3 linked regions of the Schizosaccharomyces pombe genome follow. The gene in region 2 interacts genetically with the main gene of each other region. Each region holds a gene or a part of one and is shown on either strand. Other genes may lie near its edges.

Evidence for each region. Genes that interact genetically often act in the same process or in processes that back each other up.
Region 1: mutations in acp2 (region 2) and fim1 are lethal when combined (synthetic lethality), as found in Schizosaccharomyces pombe (2 studies listed by BioGRID, with this or other methods).
Region 3: mutations in acp2 (region 2) and rng2 impair growth when combined (synthetic growth defect), as found in Schizosaccharomyces pombe (2 studies listed by BioGRID, with this or other methods).

Annotation. Positions count from the first base shown.
Region 1 is NC_003423.3:3,103,554-3,112,110, reverse strand, and holds fim1 (fimbrin), read left to right. Parts: upstream 1-3,302; 5' UTR 3,303-3,369; coding exon 3,370-3,603; intron 3,604-3,679; coding exon 3,680-5,168; intron 5,169-5,222; coding exon 5,223-5,344; 3' UTR 5,345-5,869; downstream 5,870-8,557. Other genes in the region: arc3 (ARP2/3 actin-organizing complex subunit Arc21), read left to right, coding at 1-58, 139-414, 511-653; SPOM_SPBC1778.07 (carnosine N-methyltransferase), read right to left, coding at 912-1,531, 1,649-2,150; guanyl-nucleotide exchange factor Lam2, read left to right, coding at 6,392-6,459, 6,581-6,995; Spo4-Spo6 kinase complex regulatory subunit Spo6, read right to left, coding at 7,260-7,364, 7,411-8,132, 8,179-8,311, 8,363-8,557. UniProt on the Schizosaccharomyces pombe protein: Binds to actin, and functionally associates with actin structures involved in the development and maintenance of cell polarity. Plays a role in cytokinesis. Plays important roles in mating and in spore formation.
Region 2 is NC_003424.3:2,103,530-2,107,767, reverse strand, and holds acp2 (F-actin-capping protein beta subunit acp2), read left to right. Parts: upstream 1-2,334; 5' UTR 2,335-2,518; coding exon 2,519-2,524; exon of another isoform or gene 2,525-2,721; coding exon 2,722-3,118; intron 3,119-3,167; coding exon 3,168-3,571; 3' UTR 3,572-3,738; downstream 3,739-4,238. Other genes in the region: protein Atg14, read right to left, coding at 3,814-4,238. UniProt on the Schizosaccharomyces pombe protein: F-actin-capping proteins bind in a Ca(2+)-independent manner to the fast growing ends of actin filaments (barbed end) thereby blocking the exchange of subunits at these ends.
Region 3 is NC_003424.3:2,642,188-2,653,115, forward strand, and holds rng2 (IQ motif containing GTPase activating protein), read left to right. Parts: upstream 1-3,240; 5' UTR 3,241-3,329; coding exon 3,330-7,799; 3' UTR 7,800-8,240; downstream 8,241-10,928. Other genes in the region: hcs1 (3-hydroxy-3-methylglutaryl-CoA synthase), read left to right, coding at 1,437-1,496, 1,673-2,956; U5 snRNP complex subunit Spp42, read left to right, coding at 8,551-10,928. UniProt on the Schizosaccharomyces pombe protein: Component of the contractile F-actin ring; required for its construction following assembly of F-actin at the division site.

The DNA of each region.
Region 1 (8,557 bases), on a different chromosome or scaffold from region 2:
ACGGGAAACATAGCAATGCTGCCGTTGAAAACCAAGTTTCGTGGACCGGCTTATCCTGGTATGTTCCAGATATTTGTCAACTCTGTTTAAAGACTATTCTTAATGTTATTAGAGTACTTTCTAACATTTTTTATACAGCTGATGAGAGTCAAATGGATATTATTGATGAATGCATTGGGCTGTTTCGCGCCAATTGTTTCTTCCGCAATTTTGAGATTAAGGGACCAGCAGACCGTACTTTAATTTATGGAACATTATTTATCAGTGAGTGCTTGGGAAGAGTTAATGGACTCAATTATCGTGATGCTGAACGTCAACTTAATAGTTTAGCGTTGGAGAATTTTTCTATTCCTGGCTCTGCTGGCTTTCCCTTGAATGCATTATATGCTCCTCCCCTTTCTCCTCAAGATGCTGGTAAGATTCACCCAAACTGTGGCATTAGACATATAGATGTTTGTGCCGCTAATAGCTTTCTTGCTTTTTTTTTCATTTGCTAACTATTAAAAAAAGAAATAATGCGTACATATCTTACTCAATTTCGTCAGGAACTTGCTTATCGTCTTTTGTCCCATGTATATGCAACTGAAAAGGATCATCCCAGCAAGTGGTGGACTTGCTTCAGCAAGAGACGTTTTATGAACAAAGCTTTGTGAGTCTATTAATTAATAATTTGGCTCATACTGTATTTCAAAGCCTTTATGTTTTTCCGTTTCCTTTATTTCAAATGCGGCTTATAAAGTTTTTGAAGCGTACGAATGGCTTATTTAATGTAGGCAGTTTTATACGTAGATAGTAGATGCAAAAATAATCGCTTTACTTTCATGTACAAGTTATCAATTAGCTTTGTTAATTATGCTAAAGGAATATTTGAATGATTAAAGTCGTAATATTCAATGTTGGTTCAAAAATTTTTATTGAAATCGTAATTTTGATTTTTGCAAACGGCAGACCCAATAATGAGGATGGTATATCCATTCAAGCATACTTCGTTTGTCCCCCATATAAGTCGTGTCGACCGAATTGTGCTTTAAAACCTCAAATCCCATACTATCCATCACGTAAAACAGCTGCTCGAGAGTCAATTCAACGAAAGGTTGTTGCTGGCTATCACTGTTAGAATTAGAAGTACCTTCTGACTCAAAATGATACAATAAAGGCCCGAGATTTATCCAATAACCTCCATCTACCAAACAGTTTTTAATTGTATCCAAATAGTCCAGTATGTTTTTTGTAGTGTCTATAAAGAAGCAGGTAGCTACTACTTGAAACGAATCACGACTTTCTTCGGTGCCGTATACCTCCAGGAAATCCCCGGCTGCCATTGAAAAGTTTTGTGAATTCCGCAGATATTGAGAGGGAACTGCATCAGGAATATTTAATGAACGCACCTGGTCATCACGCATGACATGGTTCGAAAATGAATGAATATAAGGATACACAAGAAACTGATTTTCCTGCTTTACGCAATTCAGTATGAAATGCGACGTTAAAAGCATAAAATATGAGAACTCATTTCCTTGGCATGCAAAGCCTATTAAATGTTAGAAGCTATGTCCAAAAATCCAAATTTAGAAAGAAGTTAGAAAACATGTAATCAGATAAATAATAAATCATGCTATTTTTGATTGATAGTATCAAGTGTACCTACCTTCCACAGCTATATCAAAGGCCAATCTTCCTAAGCCGGAACCTGGAACAAGTACACGAATTTTAGATCTGTCTATAGAATCAGATGGGAAAAGTGAATTTAGTTCCTCGATGAAAGGAGCATATGTAGTACGGCGTTCCTCAACACATTCGGTCGACCAATCTCTCGCAATTTGCTTGAGAGTGCTTGAAACTTTTTGCATCATATCAACATTGACATGAAATAACTCATTTTGATCGAAATCACTGCAGAACACAGGAATGGCTGCGTTAGCGATTGCTTCAGCAAGCACGCTGTTCTGCTCGATACATTGATCAATCCTTGAAAGATGCTTTAAAAAATTGTTGTCAGAGTCCTGTAAGAGTAAGTCCTTGTGTTCAAAAGACAACCTGCTCATCGATTTTCTCTTCTGTTGTGTTATTGTATGAGCATATTGCCTGTACAAAAAGAACGCGCTTAAAACTTCTTTCAAAACTTTTACTTCTTCCTCATCATATTCCATAGTTTTTTTTGATGTTTCTGAGCTCTATCTAGACTTTAATATTTTTATCATCTAAGTCGCAATTTTGGCGTTGTGGAGAAGTTAAACCTCTAACTTGTTGCTTCATTGAAGTTGGAAGTGTTGAAGAAACCAATAAGTTAAGAATATTATGGTTAATATAATTATGTTTTATGTATTTCATTAGCTTTTCAAGTTATGTTTATATCTACTGTGTTTGATTGCAATATTGAATCATCTCTGCTGAAAATCCCTGCAACGCGGTGCCTCTATGAAAATAGTGTTTGCCTTTTGCAAAAATCCCATAGGTTTTATTTGGATAGTTGTCAGACAATATTTTACAACAGCAGCCGCAAAGGAAATTCACCATGCTTCAACAATACCGGAACAGCTAATCTTCTGAAGCATCGTTATAGTAGTATTGTGAGTTTTGTAGATTATAAGAAAATAATATAAGAGAATCTTGGTGCACGCAGTAATATCATACAATATTTATATTGCAGCTTATAAACGAGACTGGAAATACACGTGAAAAGGTAGTCAGGTTAAAAGTTTAACCCTGTGACATCTGGCTAATCTTTTATCCTATTGCGCAGTTAAAAGCGGGAATTACTTCTTTTTCTTATATTGTATCAAAAATTGTTGGCTTCAGTGACCTAAACCCTTGAACAAAAGAAAAAAAACACGAATTTTCACGGCCGGAAAAACTTTCTGCAACGTTTTACAAAGGATCTACTATCATAGTAAGTAGAAATTTTGGCTTCTTGACATATAGTACTAAGTAATTTTCAAGTCGATGCATCAGTTGACTTCAATTGAAAGAGCTTGCTAGTTTGTGATGTTTATGGCATTTGAATTCGGTAATATCGCTAATTTGATATGGACTTACGTTTAGCTTTTTATTCTGTAAAAAAAATTAAAATTCAATGTAGTTGATATCCCAGCTATATATTCAATCTAAAGCTACAACGCAAGACATCGTCAAGTAGTAAATTACTTTTTACAATTGCAAATTAACTTTTAACAGATTGGCTAAGCAAACGTGTATTAACTCATTTAGCGAGCGGATCAAAGTTTTGCTCTACGCTTCTGTAAGTATGATGTATGTGCATCAACAACACGACGTTAATCCTTGTCACGTAGCAACTGCAAGCCACCCAAAGCACACATCGTGTGGTTTCGTTTACTATACATTTTTTGGTCAAATTTTACTTTTAAAGAAATGTTAGCTCTTAAACTTCAAAAGAAGTATCCGGAGCTCACTAATGAGGAAATTCTAACCTTAACCGACCAATTTAACAAACTTGATGTGGATGGAAAGGGATATTTAGATCAACCTACCACTATTAAAGCCTTTGAAGATTCAAAGAAGGGTTCTTACGATGAGGTCCGTGAAGCAATTCGTGAAGTTAACGTTGATTCGTCTGGACGTGTTGAACCCGAAGACTTTGTAGGAGTAAGTAATGTTTTCCGTAATTTTCACGATATGTGTCTCTATATCGCTTCATCAATTGGATTACTAATGCATATAGATTTTCAATGTTTTAAAAAAAGGTGTAGAAGGTACTGAAGTAAAAAAGGGTCGGATTACTATCAAAGGATCTTCCTCAAGTGTTTCTCATACCATTAATGAGGAAGAGCGAAGAGAATTTATCAAGCATATTAATTCCGTCTTAGCTGGAGACCCTGATGTTGGTTCCCGAGTCCCCATCAACACTGAAACCTTTGAGTTTTTCGATCAATGCAAAGATGGTTTAATCCTCTCAAAGTTAATTAATGACAGCGTTCCCGACACCATTGATGAGCGTGTACTCAATAAACAGAGAAATAACAAGCCTCTTGATAATTTCAAATGTATTGAAAATAACAATGTTGTTATTAACTCCGCAAAAGCTATGGGTGGTATCTCCATTACCAACATTGGTGCCGGCGATATTTTAGAAGGTCGTGAACATTTGATTCTTGGTCTTGTTTGGCAAATCATTCGCCGCGGTCTCCTTGGAAAGATTGATATTACTTTACATCCCGAGCTTTACCGCCTTCTCGAAGAGGATGAAACCCTTGACCAATTTCTCCGTCTCCCTCCTGAGAAAATTCTTCTCCGCTGGTTCAATTATCACTTAAAGGCTGCCAATTGGCCGCGTACTGTCTCTAACTTCTCAAAAGATGTTTCAGATGGCGAGAATTATACTGTGCTGCTCAACCAATTAGCTCCCGAACTCTGTTCACGTGCTCCTCTTCAAACTACAGATGTTTTGCAGCGTGCTGAACAGGTTTTACAGAATGCTGAAAAATTGGATTGCCGCAAATATCTTACACCTACCGCTATGGTTGCAGGGAACCCTAAGCTTAACCTTGCCTTTGTTGCTCATCTCTTTAATACTCATCCAGGTTTGGAGCCTTTAAATGAAGAGGAAAAGCCGGAGATTGAACCATTTGATGCAGAAGGTGAGCGTGAGGCACGTGTTTTTACCTTGTGGTTGAACTCTCTTGATGTTACTCCATCCATTCATGACTTCTTCAATAATTTACGAGATGGCTTGATTTTGTTGCAAGCTTACGATAAAATCACACCTAATACCGTTAACTGGAAAAAGGTGAACAAGGCACCTGCATCTGGAGATGAAATGATGCGTTTCAAAGCTGTTGAAAACTGTAATTATGCAGTGGACCTTGGAAAAAATCAAGGTTTTTCTTTGGTAGGAATACAAGGTGCTGATATTACTGACGGTTCTCGTACACTCACCTTAGCATTGGTTTGGCAAATGATGCGTATGAACATTACCAAAACTCTACATAGTCTTAGCCGTGGAGGTAAAACTCTTTCAGATAGTGACATGGTTGCGTGGGCCAATTCTATGGCTGCTAAAGGTGGTAAAGGTTCTCAAATTCGTTCATTCCGTGATCCTTCTATTTCCACTGGTGTGTTCGTCTTAGACGTACTTCATGGAATTAAGAGCGAATATGTTGATTACAATCTTGTTACCGATGGTTCTACTGAAGAACTTGCTATTCAAAATGGTATGTATATATATTTGATATATTTTTAATTTTCATTACTAACACATCGTTTAGCTCGTCTTGCTATTTCTATCGCCAGAAAGTTGGGTGCCGTAATCTTTATTTTGCCAGAAGATATTGTGGCCGTTCGTCCTCGGTTGGTCCTTCATTTTATTGGCAGTTTAATGGCCGTATAATTTGTTTCGACTTAACTATAGCTTTTAACGAAACGATTTAACACATGTGTTTTTCCCAATTTAATTACTTATATTGCGAACAACTTCGGAAGTGAGTACGTCGCTTTTGACTCGCTATGTTATTAGTGGTATGTCATATTATAGATAACTTTGTGTTGTTTTATGATACATCTTAACCCGTTTTTGTCCCTTTAGTATTGGGTAATCCTTATCCTAATTAATGTTTGAGGAATTCTGAAGCTGCACGACGAAACGTAGTCATTTTTTCTCAAACTGTAGAAAATAGTTAGCTTTTTAATTTCATAATGAAGGGAAGATCATTTGTATATGTAACTAATGGTAAGTCTCTGTAGGCCCAAATAGTACGGACTGCATATGCAAATCAGCTTTCTAAATAAAGCATTCGTTGGGAGAACGTTGGTCTACCAAGCCCTAATTTTCAAACACAATAAAAAGAAATAAAAATGTATATATGTCGATTAACATTTTTTACTTTAATAAAATATTCGGAATCTTATAACAATATTATTTATTATCAGATTACTTAACATAATACACATTACGTCCACCGTATATTGTCCAACTATGTCAGCAATACTACACTACGCTATGCTACACTACGTTGCGTATCACTATATGTCATATGTTGGAATACTAGCTAAGATCCGTTTATTGATAATCACGGGTAACTATCCTTCTATATACATAGATACCCGTTGATAACAACTATTTAGAAATATTATAAATAGCGTTACAACTGAACCTCGTTCCTCAGTTCAGTTATGAGCTATATTAGTGATAGGTAACATTATAACCCAGTTAATACAATACCTATACTCAGTTGCTACTTATACAACCTGTGTATTGTAATATAATAGACCACAAGGAAAACTCACCGCAGTTCTACGTATCCTTAAATCAGATACCAAACTGCGTAGCTTACAAACTACTTATAACCACCATTCAAAACAGGTTAAATCGTTATTGCCGATTGGACTTTAAAATACATATTGCTACCTTTACTGCTATCTAAGTTTAAATTCGAAGATGATTAAGCCAAAGAAGTTGTCGTCGTTGATGAAACAGGCAGTTGAGGAAACTGTACCGTCTATCATGTAAGCATTTAGTGAATTTGAAGTTCATTCTTACTTCAAATCCAGTGGGTACACCTGTACTATTTTGGAGCTTAGATATATAAGTTTATTGTTGAAATATTCTGAGGTATTAACAAACTAGGGTTTTTACCACTACTGGCTCGCTGCTAGCTTATGTTTCTTTTGAAGATCCTAAAGATGGTTTAAAACGTCTGGATTTAGCTAAAAGGGTTAGATCTATTGCGGCTTTAGCAGGCAACATGTATTCACTTTATACTGCAACCAACCCTAGCCCTTTGGTCGCGGAGTCTACAGACGACGTGATTGCTCATCAAAGAGATGTACTTTTTGAAACAATAATTGAGTTTGAAAGGGGGAAATTATTAATAGCCGCCATTTCAATTGATGGGGCTGAAGATAAACTTTACTCCAAAGACCCATTATTATTAGGGATTGTTGGAACAGAAAACGCAAAGGAAGGAATGATGCAAATCAAATCTGAACTTTTGAAAGAGTGTATCACCAATGAGCTTTCCACGCTTGGAAAACCAGTCTAACTTATTTTAAATCTATTTTGATTTAAACTCGATAATGTTTGGAGCTTTACTTGCATTGTTTGTTACAATCATAGGCTTAAGCCTGACCTTGGTTTAAGAAAAGAATGCTACAACACATCATTATATTGTTAATTTTCTCTTCCCTTTTAGCAGATTATTTTGAATTTTTCATTTGGACAAAGGATATATTGATTTTACGGTTTATTTGAATGTTTGAACTTGCTTTCTGGAATTTTTGAGACATCCTTAAAACTTGAACTAACGTTAATTTGTCCGAATTGGGCGTCGGATTAGCAAAAACAAATCATCTAAACCCTGGAAATTTTCATCTTTCTCTGCAAATCTTCTATGATGTTTTCCGCCCAAATGCTATCGATGTGTTAGTGCTGTTTTTGCTATGATTGGTTTAACTTACCCTTTCCAAGTCCTTGTATCTCTCACAGCAGTTTTCACAATATCCTGATTTTGTTTCGATTTTCACCTTCTTGTGAGCTAGAGGATCTGCATCGAAGGCATTAGGTGGTTGTCGAGGACTTTGGTTAGCCAAGGTGTTTTGTTTGTTTATTAAACGAGGTTCAAGAAGGTTAAGTGGAGACATTGCGGCGCGTTTCTCTACCGGTAAGAGGTTTTCTGGCTTTGGAAACTCTGTCGGCATTTGTTTTGCACCATCAACTGCTGATTCTGTGATATTATAGTCCCCCATGATTTGACGCACCAACACACTCGCTGAATTTTTAACAACGTTATTTTGGTTAGTTTGATTAGTGCAACTTAAGAGCTGTTTTCTGATTTCGTGAGCTGGATGGTTATGTTTTGTGATTTTTAACTCCCTTCTTCTACCAGTATTAAATGGACATCTTCCTTGTGCGGTTATAGCAAGACTTGGCCATAAGATCTCTCCAGAATCCAATGTTTTCTCCCATTCTCGTACTGCAATTGGCTTATAGTATTGTGATAAATCTCTAATGCAGAGGAAGTATTCACGAAAGTACTCGACGTTTTTGCTTGGCACGTAAAAGTCTTTGTCTGATGTACCATACACTTTTTCACCGTCTAGGAGAGATTGCAAGCACGAAGCTGAGGTATTAACCAGGCTATCAGAGTTGAGTAATGTAAAGAGGATTCTGTTCAATAGTTCTAAGAAAGTTAGCGAAGGTTACACTGATATATTAAGAAGACTTACTGTCCAGGAGCCAAATTTTCATATTGGCAGTTTTCGAAAGGTAAAGTACATCATTCGGCTGGCACATTTCTGGGTCGGTAGTCCTGGTGGTAATGAAATGTGTAACTTCAAAAGTAAATAATGTTGCTACTTTCTATATATGTGTTAGTTTTGATCTGCGCAAGTTCTTGCATGAACTACTTACGGCTCCAAGATTATTAATCTTTTGCGTAACACGACGCTTGATTTCCTCATCAACGTTGTCAAAGTAAAATATAAAGTTGGGAAACGCCAATCGATAATCTCTTTGCCAGTAACGAAGTTTGGAAACTCGAATGCTGGTTCTTGGTATATCCTTGTTTCGCGTTAGGGAAGGTTTTACACAGTAGTTTGAAAAAGC
Region 2 (4,238 bases):
ACTACTGACATAAGCCATCATTAGTTATATAAATAAAAGGAACTACGATAAAAAAAGGCGTAGGTAACATTGTCAAACGGAACACGAGATATTAACAAAAGAGGAACAATAGCACCACCTTTCCACAGTCTACAATATAATGGTGGTAGACGCGTCGCAACACAGAAAAGAAACGTATCTTTGGCAAAACAAAAAAAAAATTTTAAAGTCAGTTCCTTTCAATGAAGAGACTACCAATTCCAATTTTTTAACCTTTAGGATAAAAAAGCGACAATTCTAACAAACTTCGACAAACCATATCAAAATCCTAAATCACCAGCAAAAAATCCAAATTAAGAGTTGGACTGCCCTCACTGCCTCACCCACTTCACCTGTCATAAACACAAACAAAACTACTTACAAAACAAAATTGCCACGTTGACGTATAAGCTACAGCAATCAACACAGCAACACTGAATATCAAATTGCTAATAGTACACAAAAACAAGAATGAACAAAATTAATGCCGGCTAACCTTCACAACACACGCGCGCATAAACTGCCTATTACACTAAAACAAGCAATATGCAATATTTACTTCGTTGTATAGCGCCAAACAATAACAGATAGCACAAATGACTTAAGATTTATAGCGACTTGGCTTCAAAGGGACAAAAAAGTAGTGCCCTATAACAAATTAACGATTAATAACGATATCGAACTCTTCCGCGCGACTAGCAATTTCAAGAGTCGAACCGAGGAAAAATGTGGTTTGCAGAGGGAAGGAGGAAACATGTTGGTATAAGTCACCGTTGTCCTCAGGGTTAGGGTTTTGATGTGAATCAACATTGCGGCGGATGAACGATTAGATGATAATTTCAATGGAGGGCGACTGACCAATTATCTTTCTCCTACGTCACCACTGGCTAAAGCTATCAGGCGCAACGCAAATCGCGGGGTGTTATTGTAAACAAACAAAACCAAAAAATTCGGCCAAACTATGTGTTCTGCAAGTAAACAACTTAATAATAATACAATTAAAAGATAAATGATCAACAATAATTGCAGGTTAACTTCTTACAAAATTTCGATAAAAGTTTCAAACCCACAAAGCACATTTTCTGTTTTAAGTGTTTGTAATCACACACTCACTGCTACAACAACAGTAATTACAGCCTTTGTCAAGACAATAAACAGATAGAAATACGGAAAAGTGCAATTATCCAATGTAATCCTCCAATGTACTGACAAAAAGGTTCAATCCAGTTTAAGCAAGGTTAGAAATGTTTGTTTACACAATTGGTTTCAGCCGTGCGCTAGTAGTCTTAGTATGGCCAAACATACGAAAAAAGTTAGAATGCAAGATTCGAACTCGGGATTTCAAGAACTCCGAACGGGACAAAGAATCTTATGGAACGGAATGGAATCATTTCTCGGTCATTTGAGAAACCGTCCTACAATCTGATTGGTTAAAAGGACCACACCATGAAAAAACCCATGTGATTTTTGCGAATCAGAAATCGGTGAGAGATGGGAGTTGAACGCTTGTACATAATTACGTGACAGTGGCAAAATCTAGGCTCTCCCAAAATTTTTGATCACAGTTAATGTTCCGCAAATTTTTAGAACGTTGAGTCGCGCTATTCCATTTGAAAACCGTTTAACAAAACAAATTAAATGTTCTTTATTTCTAAGGAACGCAGTTTGAAGATATACGAACACTAAATTCGTAAGTTGTCATACTGCATAACGACAGTAAAACGTTATTAAAGGTTGAGTGGATGCTAAAACAGAAGGTGAGATGTAGATAAAGATCAAAAAGCAGTTAAACAATGCATTTGTTAAGGTTATAAACATAAGAATAGATTTTAAAAGATCCATAGTTTAAATAAAATGAAAGACCATTGCTTAAAATGAAAGAAGGACGTTTGTTATTGACTTTTTTATGACTTTACATGGTTTGACTCGTAGAAAATCCAAACTTTAGATAGAAAGCGATTCAAGCATTGACTTTGGCATATAATTCTCCTTGTTTCTGTATTAAGGAATTTAACCGATATACAGAAAAGTTTTGTATTCGTTGCCAATACTAAATTTAACTTGAAAATGTTCAATATTGAAAAATAGACAGCTTATTGAAGTGACCAACAGTAGCATCTAATAAATTCTTGACTTTTTCCGCTTGAACAAAATGTGCTCTTCTTTTGATTATTTTTAACAGCTCATTGATATTACCAGTTTGATTATAAAGTAAGTTTGAGGTTGGTTTTTGCTACGTTGTCATCACCAGAGGGTTCATCGTTCAATGTTCACCGCCATATGTTGTTCACTTTCTAAACTTACGCAGAAAGCACCAGAGTACAAGTACCTCACCACCAGTCAGTCACCTCTACTATTTGTGTACTGCACCGTGAAGAATCTTCGTAATTTATGCGACGAATCTAAAGTTACTTCCTATAATCATTAAGGCCTCACTTTTATTCTGAGATCGCTATCCGGTTGTATTCTTTTGTTTAAAGCATTATATCATCAACTCACCATGAATGTAAGTATTACTGAAATTAATTACCTTGCCCAATTTTTTTGTTATATTTTTATTATATAGCCATCTGTAAATTCATCTTATCATTGAATGCATATTTCATCGATTTTCGTCAGTATTGCTCAGAGACTTTATGAATTTGCTTTTCACATTCTTTGTCGTTATCCTTCTTTACAATATCAGCTAACTTATTCTTTTAGTCTGAAGACGCTGCATTAGATTTACTCCGACGATTAAACCCAAAAGATATCTCTAAAAACCTAGACACAATTCTTTCCGTCGCTCCCGATTTAGCTGATGTCCTTCTCTCGTCTGTTGATCAGCCTCTAAAAGTAAATACTTGTTCTGAGTCAGGTAATCAATATTTGTTATGTGACTTTAACAGGGATGGAGATTCGTACCGCTCACCATGGAGCAATAAATATGATCCTCCTTTGGAGGATGGTTTAGTTTCTACTGATCGAGTTCGTAAATTAGAAGTTTCTTTGAATGAAGCAATCCGTGTCTATCTTGATCTTTATTACGAGGGCGGTGTTAGTAGCGTTTATCTTTGGGACCAAGACGATAGTTACGCAGGCGCCGTTCTCATAAAAAAGGGTATTTTTATTTTCTGTCAATTTCATTATATAATTCTAACTTCATTTAGCTTCTACTTCTAACTCAAGCGGATGGGATTCTATTCACGTGTTTGAATGTCTGCCTACCACGGAAACCAACGTTTATGATTACCGACTTACAAGTACTATTATCCTTTTCCTTTCATCTGGCTCGGAGGAACAGTCTGCCTTGCCTTCCAAAGCTCTTAACCTTTCAGGTCATTTGACTCGCCAAACTTCTCAACGATTACCAGCGGCAGATGATGACACTGAGATCGCTAATGTTGGCAAATTGGTTGAGGAAATGGAAACTCGGATGCGCAACTTCCTCCAGGATGTCTACTTTGGAAAAACTAAAGATATCATCAACCAGACTCGTTCCATTCAACCCGTTTCCGATGCCCAACCAAATGATTCGGCTTTGCGTTCAGTTTTAAACGATCTTTCCATTTAGGATTGCTTTTTGTTTTCTTTCCGTGATCTTCTCATAGTATTCGTTCCATCTTCAACGAAAATAGTCATAGAAAGATTGACTAATATAAATAAATACACCGATAATCTAATTTTTTTACAACAGTTTTAAAAGAAATTATTGAATTTAATTGTTCAGTAAAAAAGTTTATATAAATAGCATTAAAAAATATACGTTAAGAGACTTTATAAGAAAGCTGTTAATCGAAGATCATGTAAAAAAGGTCATGAAATAAGCTGATATGGTTTAGACGAGGAACGTGATCGAAGAGAGGAGTAATTTATTGGAATTGGAAGACGCGCCAGGTATAATCGGTGAAAAAGGTCAAAATCCATACCCATCTTGTAATGCCAATCTGGCTTTTGAGAAGTTAGCGGCTTGGTACGTAGCTGAACTAACCAGAAACCAGTATACTGCATTAACTCAAAAAGCTGGGATTGGGTAATTCCACGGGGAAACGAAAAAATGCCACAGTTCCATGAAATCCAAACTATGTTATACATTATATACAACATTTGTTCCGATGAAAATGAAGTCATGGGTTTTTGATCAGGCGAAGGGAGTTGAAGCGGGCATGGTAAGGGAATACTGGTATACTGAGCTAAAAATATACAAATAAAGGATAAAGTTAAAGCACAATCAGGATTTA
Region 3 (10,928 bases), 540 kb from region 2:
GTTAATCAAAGTATAGGAACATAAACCCAATGGTGACTTCAATAGAACGAATCGATTGAGTATATCAATTCCAAACGCTTTGTTAATAGAGAAAAATAGCACAGCAACAGAATCGTTTTGACTTTTAGCAGTTGAGGAATGTAAAAAATGTAGAAGGGCATATATATATATACATGCGCTACTGCAGCATCCGATTCGTAATAGCGGAACGAACTAAGGTAATACAATGTAAGCTCGTTATTTTTATGCTTCTTTTGTTTTACAGTCTCGATTTTTGTATTAAATTAATTAATTATTTATTTTTGGTTCTGTAAATAAATAAGAAAAAAAGTAACGACTTTTCTGTAGAATATAAGTTTAATTTTGTGACTTATTGCTGCTTATAGTGGGTTTATTGAAATACACAATATTACTCGAAAAAAATCAGACATTTTGAAAGACTAATTCAAACGTTAAATACAAATCACTATGTTTGGTATCCGTAAAAAGCACCTTGCTATCAATTAATAAATTACTACTTGAATTTCGAATGGATGGAGGCAGCAATAATTCAATTCTTATTTTTTAATGCTGTTCAATATTTATTTATTTTTTATGTTTCGTCCAAAAAAATATTGGATTTAAGTGCCGCATATAAAATTTAATTTAAAATACGAGCGAACTACTGCCGACTTAAAATAGATAATTTGTATGCATATTTCAAGTGGAATAAAGCCGATAAAAACGTAAAATTGAAAAATTATTATATGAAGTGGACTTGTTATAAACGGAGTAGTAAAACATAAAAAACCATTACTTCTTAAATTTTTCACTTCTTTAATCTGTACTTATTTTAAACAATTCTATTTGTAATTTCGTAAATGCGATATTTATGGGTTTATTAATTTCTTAAGTATAAGTAATACACGAGTGCAGTCAGCATAGCCAAATAATTAATTTTTAGAAAACAGTTATGAATTTCTATTTGAAACAAAGTACGATTGAGAAGCGAATTGTTCACTTGTCCACCGTTTGTATTTGTATATTATTTGCAAAAGAATAAAACGCAAGATAAATGTTAGCCGAAAATATAACGTTAGCAATGTTATTCCTTTTAATATTCAAGAATTGGTCGATCTTATCATACGAGAAACGTGAACGTATGATACAAAGCTATTCCCAGCTAATAAATAAATTTTTCTATGAATAATAATTTATTTATTAATCGTAGATTCAGAATTTAATTGAAATATTATAATAGCTCAAATAGAAAAATTCCTAAACACACGTACAATAAGATACGTTGCAACGCGTTAACACACTGTCGCTCTAACTAAAGCTATCTGTTTCATTTAACCATAACCAAGATACTTCGATAATTTTCCGCTTAGTCGCCTCACAAATAGGTTAGTGCAATCTTTTTTCAAAACCCTCACACTTTGTAGAAACTCAAGAAAATGTCCTTTGATAGAAAAGATATTGGTATTAAGGGCCTCGTGTTGTACACTCCCAATCAGGTATGTTATAAATGAGTCGCTACTTTATTTCAAAACTTCTCCTCCAAATTATTTGCATGCATTACCTACATCTTTTTTCAATAGTACAAATTTACGCAAGCTTCAGAGGAAAGTAATAGAAATACTTTCTCATTAAATTCCTTCAGAACCTGATATTAATCGTTTTTACCCTATAGTATGTTGAACAAGCTGCCCTCGAAGCGCATGATGGAGTCTCTACTGGAAAGTATACTATTGGCCTCGGCTTGACTAAGATGGCTTTTGTCGACGATCGTGAAGACATTTATTCCTTTGGTCTTACCGCTCTTTCTCAACTTATCAAGAGATACCAAATTGATATAAGCAAGATTGGTCGTTTGGAAGTTGGAACTGAGACTATCATCGATAAATCTAAGTCTGTCAAAAGTGTTTTAATGCAACTTTTTGGGGATAACCACAATGTCGAAGGTATTGATTGTGTTAATGCCTGTTATGGTGGCGTGAACGCTCTTTTTAACACAATCGATTGGATTGAGTCTTCTGCTTGGGATGGCCGTGATGGTATAGTTGTCGCTGGTGATATTGCTCTCTATGCCAAGGGCAATGCTCGTCCTACCGGTGGTGCTGGTTGTGTCGCCCTTTTGGTTGGTCCTAATGCCCCTATTGTTTTTGAACCTGGTCTACGTGGTACTTACATGCAACATGCTTACGATTTTTACAAACCCGATTTGACGAGTGAATACCCTTACGTTGATGGCCATTTTTCTCTTGAATGTTATGTTAAAGCTCTTGATGGAGCATATGCTAATTACAATGTTCGTGATGTTGCTAAGAATGGAAAAAGTCAAGGACTTGGATTGGATCGTTTTGATTATTGCATTTTCCACGCTCCTACTTGCAAACAAGTCCAAAAAGCATATGCGCGTTTATTGTACACCGATAGCGCTGCTGAACCATCTAATCCCGAGTTGGAAGGTGTCCGTGAACTTCTTAGCACCCTGGATGCTAAGAAATCCCTTACCGACAAGGCTTTAGAAAAAGGTCTTATGGCCATAACTAAAGAGCGTTTTAACAAACGAGTTTCCCCTAGTGTCTATGCCCCTACCAACTGTGGTAATATGTACACTGCCAGTATTTTCTCTTGTTTAACTGCATTACTTAGCCGTGTCCCCGCTGATGAACTTAAAGGAAAACGCGTCGGTGCTTACTCTTATGGTTCTGGTTTGGCTGCCTCGTTTTTTTCATTCGTTGTCAAAGGCGACGTCTCTGAAATTGCCAAGAAAACTAACTTGGTTAACGATTTGGATAATCGTCATTGTTTAACCCCTACGCAGTATGAAGAGGCTATTGAGCTACGCCATCAAGCACACTTGAAAAAGAATTTTACTCCCAAAGGAAGCATCGAACGTCTTCGTTCAGGTACTTACTACCTTACTGGTATTGATGACATGTTCCGCCGTAGCTATTCGGTGAAGCCTTAAATCACCGAAAAAAAGATTAGAATGCAAACTAGATACTGTTAAAATCTCTTTTAGTAGACTTTTTTTTGATACATGAATATGTGATTTTGACAACTTTTTTGTTAATTATTTAAAACTCATACGTATTGTAGTCTTAAAATGAATAACCTTCATTTGTAATAGCATAACCTAAATAATTAGAGTAAATTCGTCACTAACGGACAGTATCTTGAATTAAACTACTTACACCTAAAAACCCCCCACTCATCTTGATAACCCACATTTTCTTTGTCTGAGTAACAGCTACTCTCCACTAACATAGCCGAAAAATTGTGTGCAGTTACTTTATCTAGTTTGAGATCGAATGCTGAGTAGGTAGTCATCAGAAGTCTCAATGGACGTAAATGTGGGATTATCTAGACTTCAATCTCAAGCTGGGGCACCTGTTGGCACGAAAGGGTCGAACACTCGTTTAGCAGCCAAACAAAGAGAAACCCTTCAAGCATATGATTATTTGTGTAGGGTTGATGAAGCAAAAAAATGGATAGAAGAATGCCTCGGCACAGATCTAGGACCAACGTCTACATTTGAGCAGTCGCTGCGAAACGGAGTTGTCTTGGCTCTCTTGGTTCAGAAATTTCAACCCGATAAACTAATCAAGATATTCTATTCTAATGAACTCCAGTTTCGCCATTCAGATAACATTAATAAGTTTCTTGACTTTATCCATGGCATTGGGCTTCCCGAAATTTTTCATTTCGAACTGACTGACATTTACGAAGGGAAAAATTTACCCAAAGTTATCTATTGTATTCATGCCCTTTCTTATTTCCTTTCTATGCAGGACTTGGCACCCCCTTTAATCAAGAGTGATGAAAATCTATCTTTTACTGATGAAGACGTTTCAATAATAGTCCGTAGACTCCGACAATCTAATGTAATCCTTCCTAACTTCAAAGCTTTAAGTGCCGATTTTATGCTTCGTGCTAGTCCTGTTTCTTCTCGCACTCCTTCCCCTACACGATTTCCCAAGCATGCTCGTTTCCAAACCCTAAATTCATCAGATTCTGCATCTATATATTCGTCTCCTTATACTTCTCCTACTTTAGAATTTTCGAAGAAAGATGCTAGCGCTCGTTCAGACATCCTTAAGATGCACAGAAGGACGAAATCAGCGACACCTTCGTTAGAACAATTTAATGAACCATATAAACAAACTTTGCCTAGTCATTCAATCGAATTCGAAGACTCTTTTTTTCAACCCCCTTCTCAAAAGGGACATATGCAACGATCTTTCCTCACAACATTTTCAGCACCCACAAGAAGACGGGAGGCACTATTTTCTACCACTTCTGGACTTAGTCAGCGTAGCCCTGTCGATGAGAAAATCGTGAACGCGATTCAAGCTTGTGGTCGTGGCGTACTTGTGCGCTTGCGTTTGGTGGATATGTTACAATCCCTCGTGGAACAAAGTTCTTCTGTCGTACTTCTGCAAGCCGTAATTCGTGGATATATATCTAGAAATACATACAGAATACGAAAGAAAGCATACGATGAACTTGTAAACTGGGTTACTTCTATTCAATCCATCTCTCGTGCATATCTGATACGTGCACAATACCGTAAAGTGGTTTTACAGGAGGAGGCAACGAAGTCAATCCAAACGTTACAAAGCATTATTCGTGGGGGTTTCTATCGTCGTAAATACCACTCGTTAATAGAGAGGCTAGACTTATTTACACCATCATTTGTGTTAATTCAATCCTCAGCTTTAGGATTTCTTACCCGTCATGCAATAGTTAATATGCTTGACAACCTTTACAACTATATCCCTCTCTTTAACCGGATGCAAAGTATACTGCGTGCAAATATGTTTCGGAATGAATGGTCTAACTTTCTAGATTCCGTACAATCGTTTCCCGTTTCTTTTCACTCTATTTGCAAAGGACGCTTGATAAGGGATTCTATAAACAGATTAAATGGATCACTTCTGGGAGAACTGGATAATTTTATTAAACTACAAAATTTATCTCGAGGATTTATGATTCGTCGGGCATTTAAAGAGAAATTGGAGAAATTAAAAGCATCAACATCCTCTTTCATTGCTCTACAGGCAATTGTTCGGGCTTTTCTTTTAAGAAAAAACTTGGAAAGCATTTATGATTCTTTTCAAAAATCGCACCTATCTGTCATTAAAGCCCAATCTCTTTATCGGGGATTCATTACTCGAACCAAAATTGATTATTGTAACGACTATTTGTTAAAGCGATTACCAGATATCGTGTTTATGCAATCTGCAGTCCGTGCAATTCTTTTACGAGATGATGTGAATTATACTGAAGTTCAGTTAGATTCTTTTATTCCTGAAATTGTATTGTTACAATCTTTAATTCGTGGGTATCTATCTCGAAACAAATTTTCAAGAAAACTTCAAAATTTTCATAAGAATATGGAGAATCCCATAGTTGCGAAGTCCATTTTTAGGGGTCGTCAAGAAGGGTTGGCTTATAGAGAACTTGCTACGGCCAAAAATCCACCTGTTATGACGGTCAAAAATTTTGTTCATTTATTAGACGACACCAATTTCGACTTTGAGGAAGAAGTATTGCTTGAAAAAATGAGAAAAGAAATTGTGCAACAAGTACGAGACAATGAAGAAATTGAAGTTCACATCAATGAACTAGACGTGAAGATTGCTTTGTTGGTTAAAAACAAAATCAGTTTGGATGATGTTTTAAAACATCACAACAAGTATAAATTTGGAAAGCAAAGCACTGAATATTTAAAAATTAATACTCTGTCTATGAAGTCACTCAACAATTCAAGCAGAAAATTTTTGGAACTTTATCAGTGTTTTTTCTATGTGTTACAAACCAACGAAATGTACTTAGCAAATTATTTTCAAGCGCTAAAAACTGAGGGCACTTCCTCTGTAAAGATCCGTCATGCTGTTTATTTAGTTTTGCAAATTTTCGGCCATGGCTCTAACCGACGAGAAGAAGTACTACTTTTGAGATTCATTTCCCAAGTCATTAAGCTAGAAGCAGCTTTAGTTAATTCATCTCAGGATCTACTTTCTGATGACTGTGTCTGGAAATTACTGTTCACTGGATATCGTGGGGACGTTCGTGAAGTGAAGCTTTGGAAAACTATTCTCGGCCGCATTCACAAGGTTTTAGTAGCCGACAATCATTTGGATTTTGAAATCAATCCGTTGACTCTATTTAAAAGTTTCAATCCTGAAGTTGCCAGTCAAACTGATAGTCCAAAACTCACTTTGTCGTTAGCAATGCAACACCCACCGACAAGAAATCTATACGTTAGCAGACTTCGTGAACTTCGAAAACTGTGTCAATCATTCCTAGTAGCACTTTCTAAGAATATTGAAAATATTCCTTATGCTTTATGCTATACTGCAGCACAATTGAAAAATAGCTTACAACGATATTTCCCCGCTGCGCATAAAGAAGAAATTTTTGGCGTAATAGGGAAATTTGTTTATTGGGCTTATGTCGCTCCTGTACTTGTGTCACCCGATAACTTCAAGTTGGTTGATGGCTCTATTACAGCTCTTCAACGAAAAAACCTTTACACATTGTCAAGCATTTTGTCTGAGATCTTTTCAATCGAGTCCTGTGACTCTAAGCAACTTGGTTTTTTTAGACCACTCTCCGAGTTTATTGAGGTGTCCAAGCAGGATACCATGTTGATGCTAGAAAGGCTTGTCGATGTGGTTGATCCAGAGGTGTACTTTGAGTTCGATGCTTTTGAAGACCTTGTTAATACCAAGCGGCCAGTAATATACATGAAGCGAGACGATATTTTAGGCATTTATTCATCTATTGCATATGTCATAGATAGTATTGCTCCTCCTGATGTGAACGATCCATTACGCGCTGTTGTCAATAGCTTAGGTCCTGTTTCAGAGCAAGACAATGACTTTGTGCAAGATGAAACTGACGTCAAACTAGAATTGAATCCCAAATTTTGCACTATAGAAAATCCCGTTGCTCAGGAACGGACTCTTATTGTTCAGACAAAGAGATATATATTATTTATTATTCGAATTCAAAATGGCCTTAATCTTTTGGAAATACTTGTCAAACCGGTTACAGATTCAGACGAAGCAGCATGGCAAAATTTATTGGCAGAAGAATCTGAAAAGAATGCAAGGAATTATGATTTGTTTGATGATTCTATCTTTTCAATGTCATTTGCAGAACTGAAATACACTGCACTAAGCAATATAGTGGAAATGGAAAAGCTTGGATTTGCAAACCGACGGAATAATTACCAAGATATGGTAAATTCTATCGCTCTAGATATCCGTAATAAGTCGAGAAGAAGGATGCAACGACAGCGTGAACTTGATGCGGGACATCAAAGTTTGCTTAACTTACGAGAAAAAAGAGCTTTCCTTGATTCGCAGCTAAAAAGTTATAACGAATACATTGAACAAGCTATGGAAACATTACAATCAAAGAAGGGTAAGAAGAAGCTTATTCCTTTTTCTAAACAGTATTTTCACATGCGAGATCTCCGAAAATCTGGACGCGTTCCTCGCTTTGGGTCGTTCAAGTACCCAGCTCTTAAACTCTATGACCGAGGAGTTTTGGTATCAATATCTCATATGCCGCAGAAAGAAAAATTGTATATTACTATATCAGCCGATGAAGTTGGCAAATTTATTCTGGAAGCAACAAGCCCGACAGTTAAAGTTTCGAGCCCAAGGTGTGAATTGCATTTGGACGACTTGTTGTCTGCTCAATATAACAAGGTTTTAACTTTGGATGTTTTGGATGGCCGTCTCAAATTAAACACCAATATGTTCTTACATTTGATTTTCTCCAAATTTTATTCATGAGACGTTTCACTTTGTTCATTTTTCCGTCTCTTTAACTACCCAATGATTTAATTCGAATTAACTTAAAACCGTCAAATATCTTTGCACATTAATACTTGTCCATATTCTTTTGGCGAAATATGTATACTATGTGATATTTTCTCCCCTTTAATTCTGATAATTTGCACAGTTTTCCCATTTCATTCACTTAGTGTGGGGGGTTTTTTTATCACTACTTGTGTTTACTTATACTGTACAAATCTTATTTAACTCGGTGTTATTTTTCAAATTTTTTTTTTCAACTAAAGCCGTTGAACCTGAAACACTAAATCAAGGAATAGGAATTTTTGGTTTATGCATACTAGTTGTACTTGGTAATTTATACTTTCTGAATTAGTTAAAGGTTTATAATTACAAATAACACTTTTTTATAACAAAATGTAATTTATGTCAATACATACATCTTTACTAATTCTTATAAGGCGATTCGATTGAGCATGATTATGTTCAAATTAACCTTTGGATATGGGTAGGTGTTTGGTTGACAAACTTCTTAAGCGTGTTGCATTTTAACGAAGAAAATTTGAATTTTCAAATCCCGTATAGCGTGTAAAAAAATATACATTAAACACGTATTATGAGCAGAAGACTACATAGACCTAATATGAAATAAAACGCACAAAAGAATATTACGCACAAATAATGGCGAGGGTCACCACCATACAAAGTAATATTCACTACCACAATTCAGCTGACAAATACCATTACCTAAATGGCGTCGTTACCACCGGGGAATCCTCCTCCACCGCCTCCTCCGCCTGGATTTGAGCCTCCTTCACAGCCTCCACCTCCTCCACCTCCAGGTTATGTGAAGAAAAGAAAAAACAAGACTCCAGCACAGTCTGGAAATCTTGAAAAGCAACTTAACGAAAGAGCACGCAAATGGCGCGCTTCTCAAAAATCAAAGTTTGGTGTCAAAAGGAAGCAGGGTTATGTTCAAACAGAGAAAGCTGATCTTCCGCCTGAGCACCTGCGCAAAATTATGAAAGACAGGGGAGATATGTCTTCTAGGAAGTTTCGTGCTGATAAACGTTCCTATTTGGGCGCTTTGAAGTACTTGCCACATGCTGTGCTAAAATTGCTTGAGAACATGCCAATGCCTTGGGAAGAATACAGGGAGGTCAAGGTTTTATATCATGTAACCGGTGCTATAACTTTTGTAAACGAGAGTCCTCGCGTAATTGAACCGCATTTTATTGCTCAATGGGGAACGATGTGGATGATGATGAGACGCGAGAAGCGTGATCGAAAAAATTTTAAGCGTTTGCGGTTTCCTCCTTTTGACGATGAAGAGCCACCATTTTCTATTGATCAATTGCTTGATTTAGAGCCGTTAGAGGCTATTAGAATGGACTTAGATGAAGAAGATGACGCTCCTGTTATGGATTGGTTTTACGAAAATAAGGCTTTGGAAGATACTCCCCATGTAAATGGTCCAACCTATCGTCGTTGGAAGCTTAATTTACCTCAGATGGCTAATTTACATCGTTTAGGTTACCAACTTTTGAGTGATTTACGCGATGATAATTACTTTTACTTGTTTAATGACAATAGTTTCTTTACGGCTAAAGCTTTGAACGTGGCTATCCCAGGAGGTCCGAAATTTGAACCTTTATACAAAGACGAAGCCCCAGAAATGGAAGATTGGAATGAATTTAATGACATTTATAAACTTATTATCCGACATCCCATTAAAACTGAATACCGGATAGCGTTTCCTTACCTTTATAATTCTAGAGCTCGAAGCGTTGCACTAAGTGAATACCACCAACCGTCTAATGTTTTCGTTCCTCCTGAGGATCCTGATCTTCCGGCTTTTTTTTGGGATCCCATAATAAACCCCATCACTTCCCGCCAACTCACTTTGCATGAACTAGATACCTCTCCCGAAGATTCTGCCATAGAAGAAGATCCTAATTTTGAAATCCCTTTCGATCCTTTCTTTCATTCCGAAGATATAGAATTTGAGCACACAGCCAGTGCTCTGATTTTATTGTGGGCACCCCATCCTTTTAATAAGCGATCTGGTGCGACTAAGCGTGCGCAAGATGTTCCACTGATAAAGCATTGGTATTTAGAGCATTGTCCTCCTAATCAGCCTGTTAAAGTTCGTGTGTCATATCAAAAACTTTTAAAATCCCATGTTATGAATAAGTTGCACATGGCGCATCCCAAATCGCACACCAATCGCAGCTTACTTAGACAGTTAAAAAATACTAAATTTTTTCAAAGTACTTCTATCGATTGGGTTGAAGCTGGTCTCCAAGTTTGTCGCCAAGGGTACAACATGCTGCAATTACTTATTCACAGAAAAGGGTTGACATATTTACATTTGGATTACAACTGTAATTTAAAACCTACAAAGACATTAACTACGAAGGAAAGAAAGAAATCTAGGTTTGGTAATGCATTTCACTTGATGCGCGAAATACTTCGCCTTACTAAATTAATTGTCGATTCTCATGTACAGTATCGTTTGGGAAACATTGACGCATATCAGCTAGCTGATGGATTACATTACATATTTAATCATGTTGGTCAACTTACGGGAATGTATCGTTATAAATATCGATTGATGCGGCAGATTCGTGCTTGCAAAGATTTCAAGCATCTTATTTATTATCGCTTCAACACTGGTCCTGTTGGCAAAGGTCCAGGTTGTGGGTTTTGGGCTCCCAGTTGGCGTGTATGGCTTTTCTTTCTACGCGGAATTGTTCCTTTGCTAGAGCGCTGGCTGGGCAATTTGCTTGCTAGACAATTTGAAGGCCGTCATTCTACAGGAGTGGCAAAACAAATAACCAAGCAGCGTGTCGATTCTCATCAAGATCTAGAATTGAGGGCTGCAGTGATGAATGATATTTTGGATATGATACCTGAAGGAATTCGCCAAGGCAAAAGCAAAACCATTTTGCAGCATCTTAGTGAAGCTTGGCGTTGTTGGAAGGCTAACATACCTTGGAAGGTTCCGGGTCTCCCTGCACCTATTGAGAATATGATTTTGAGATATGTGAAGTCAAAAGCAGATTGGTGGACCTCAGTCGCTCACTTCAATCGTGAACGTATTCGTCGAGGAGCTACTGTTGATAAAAC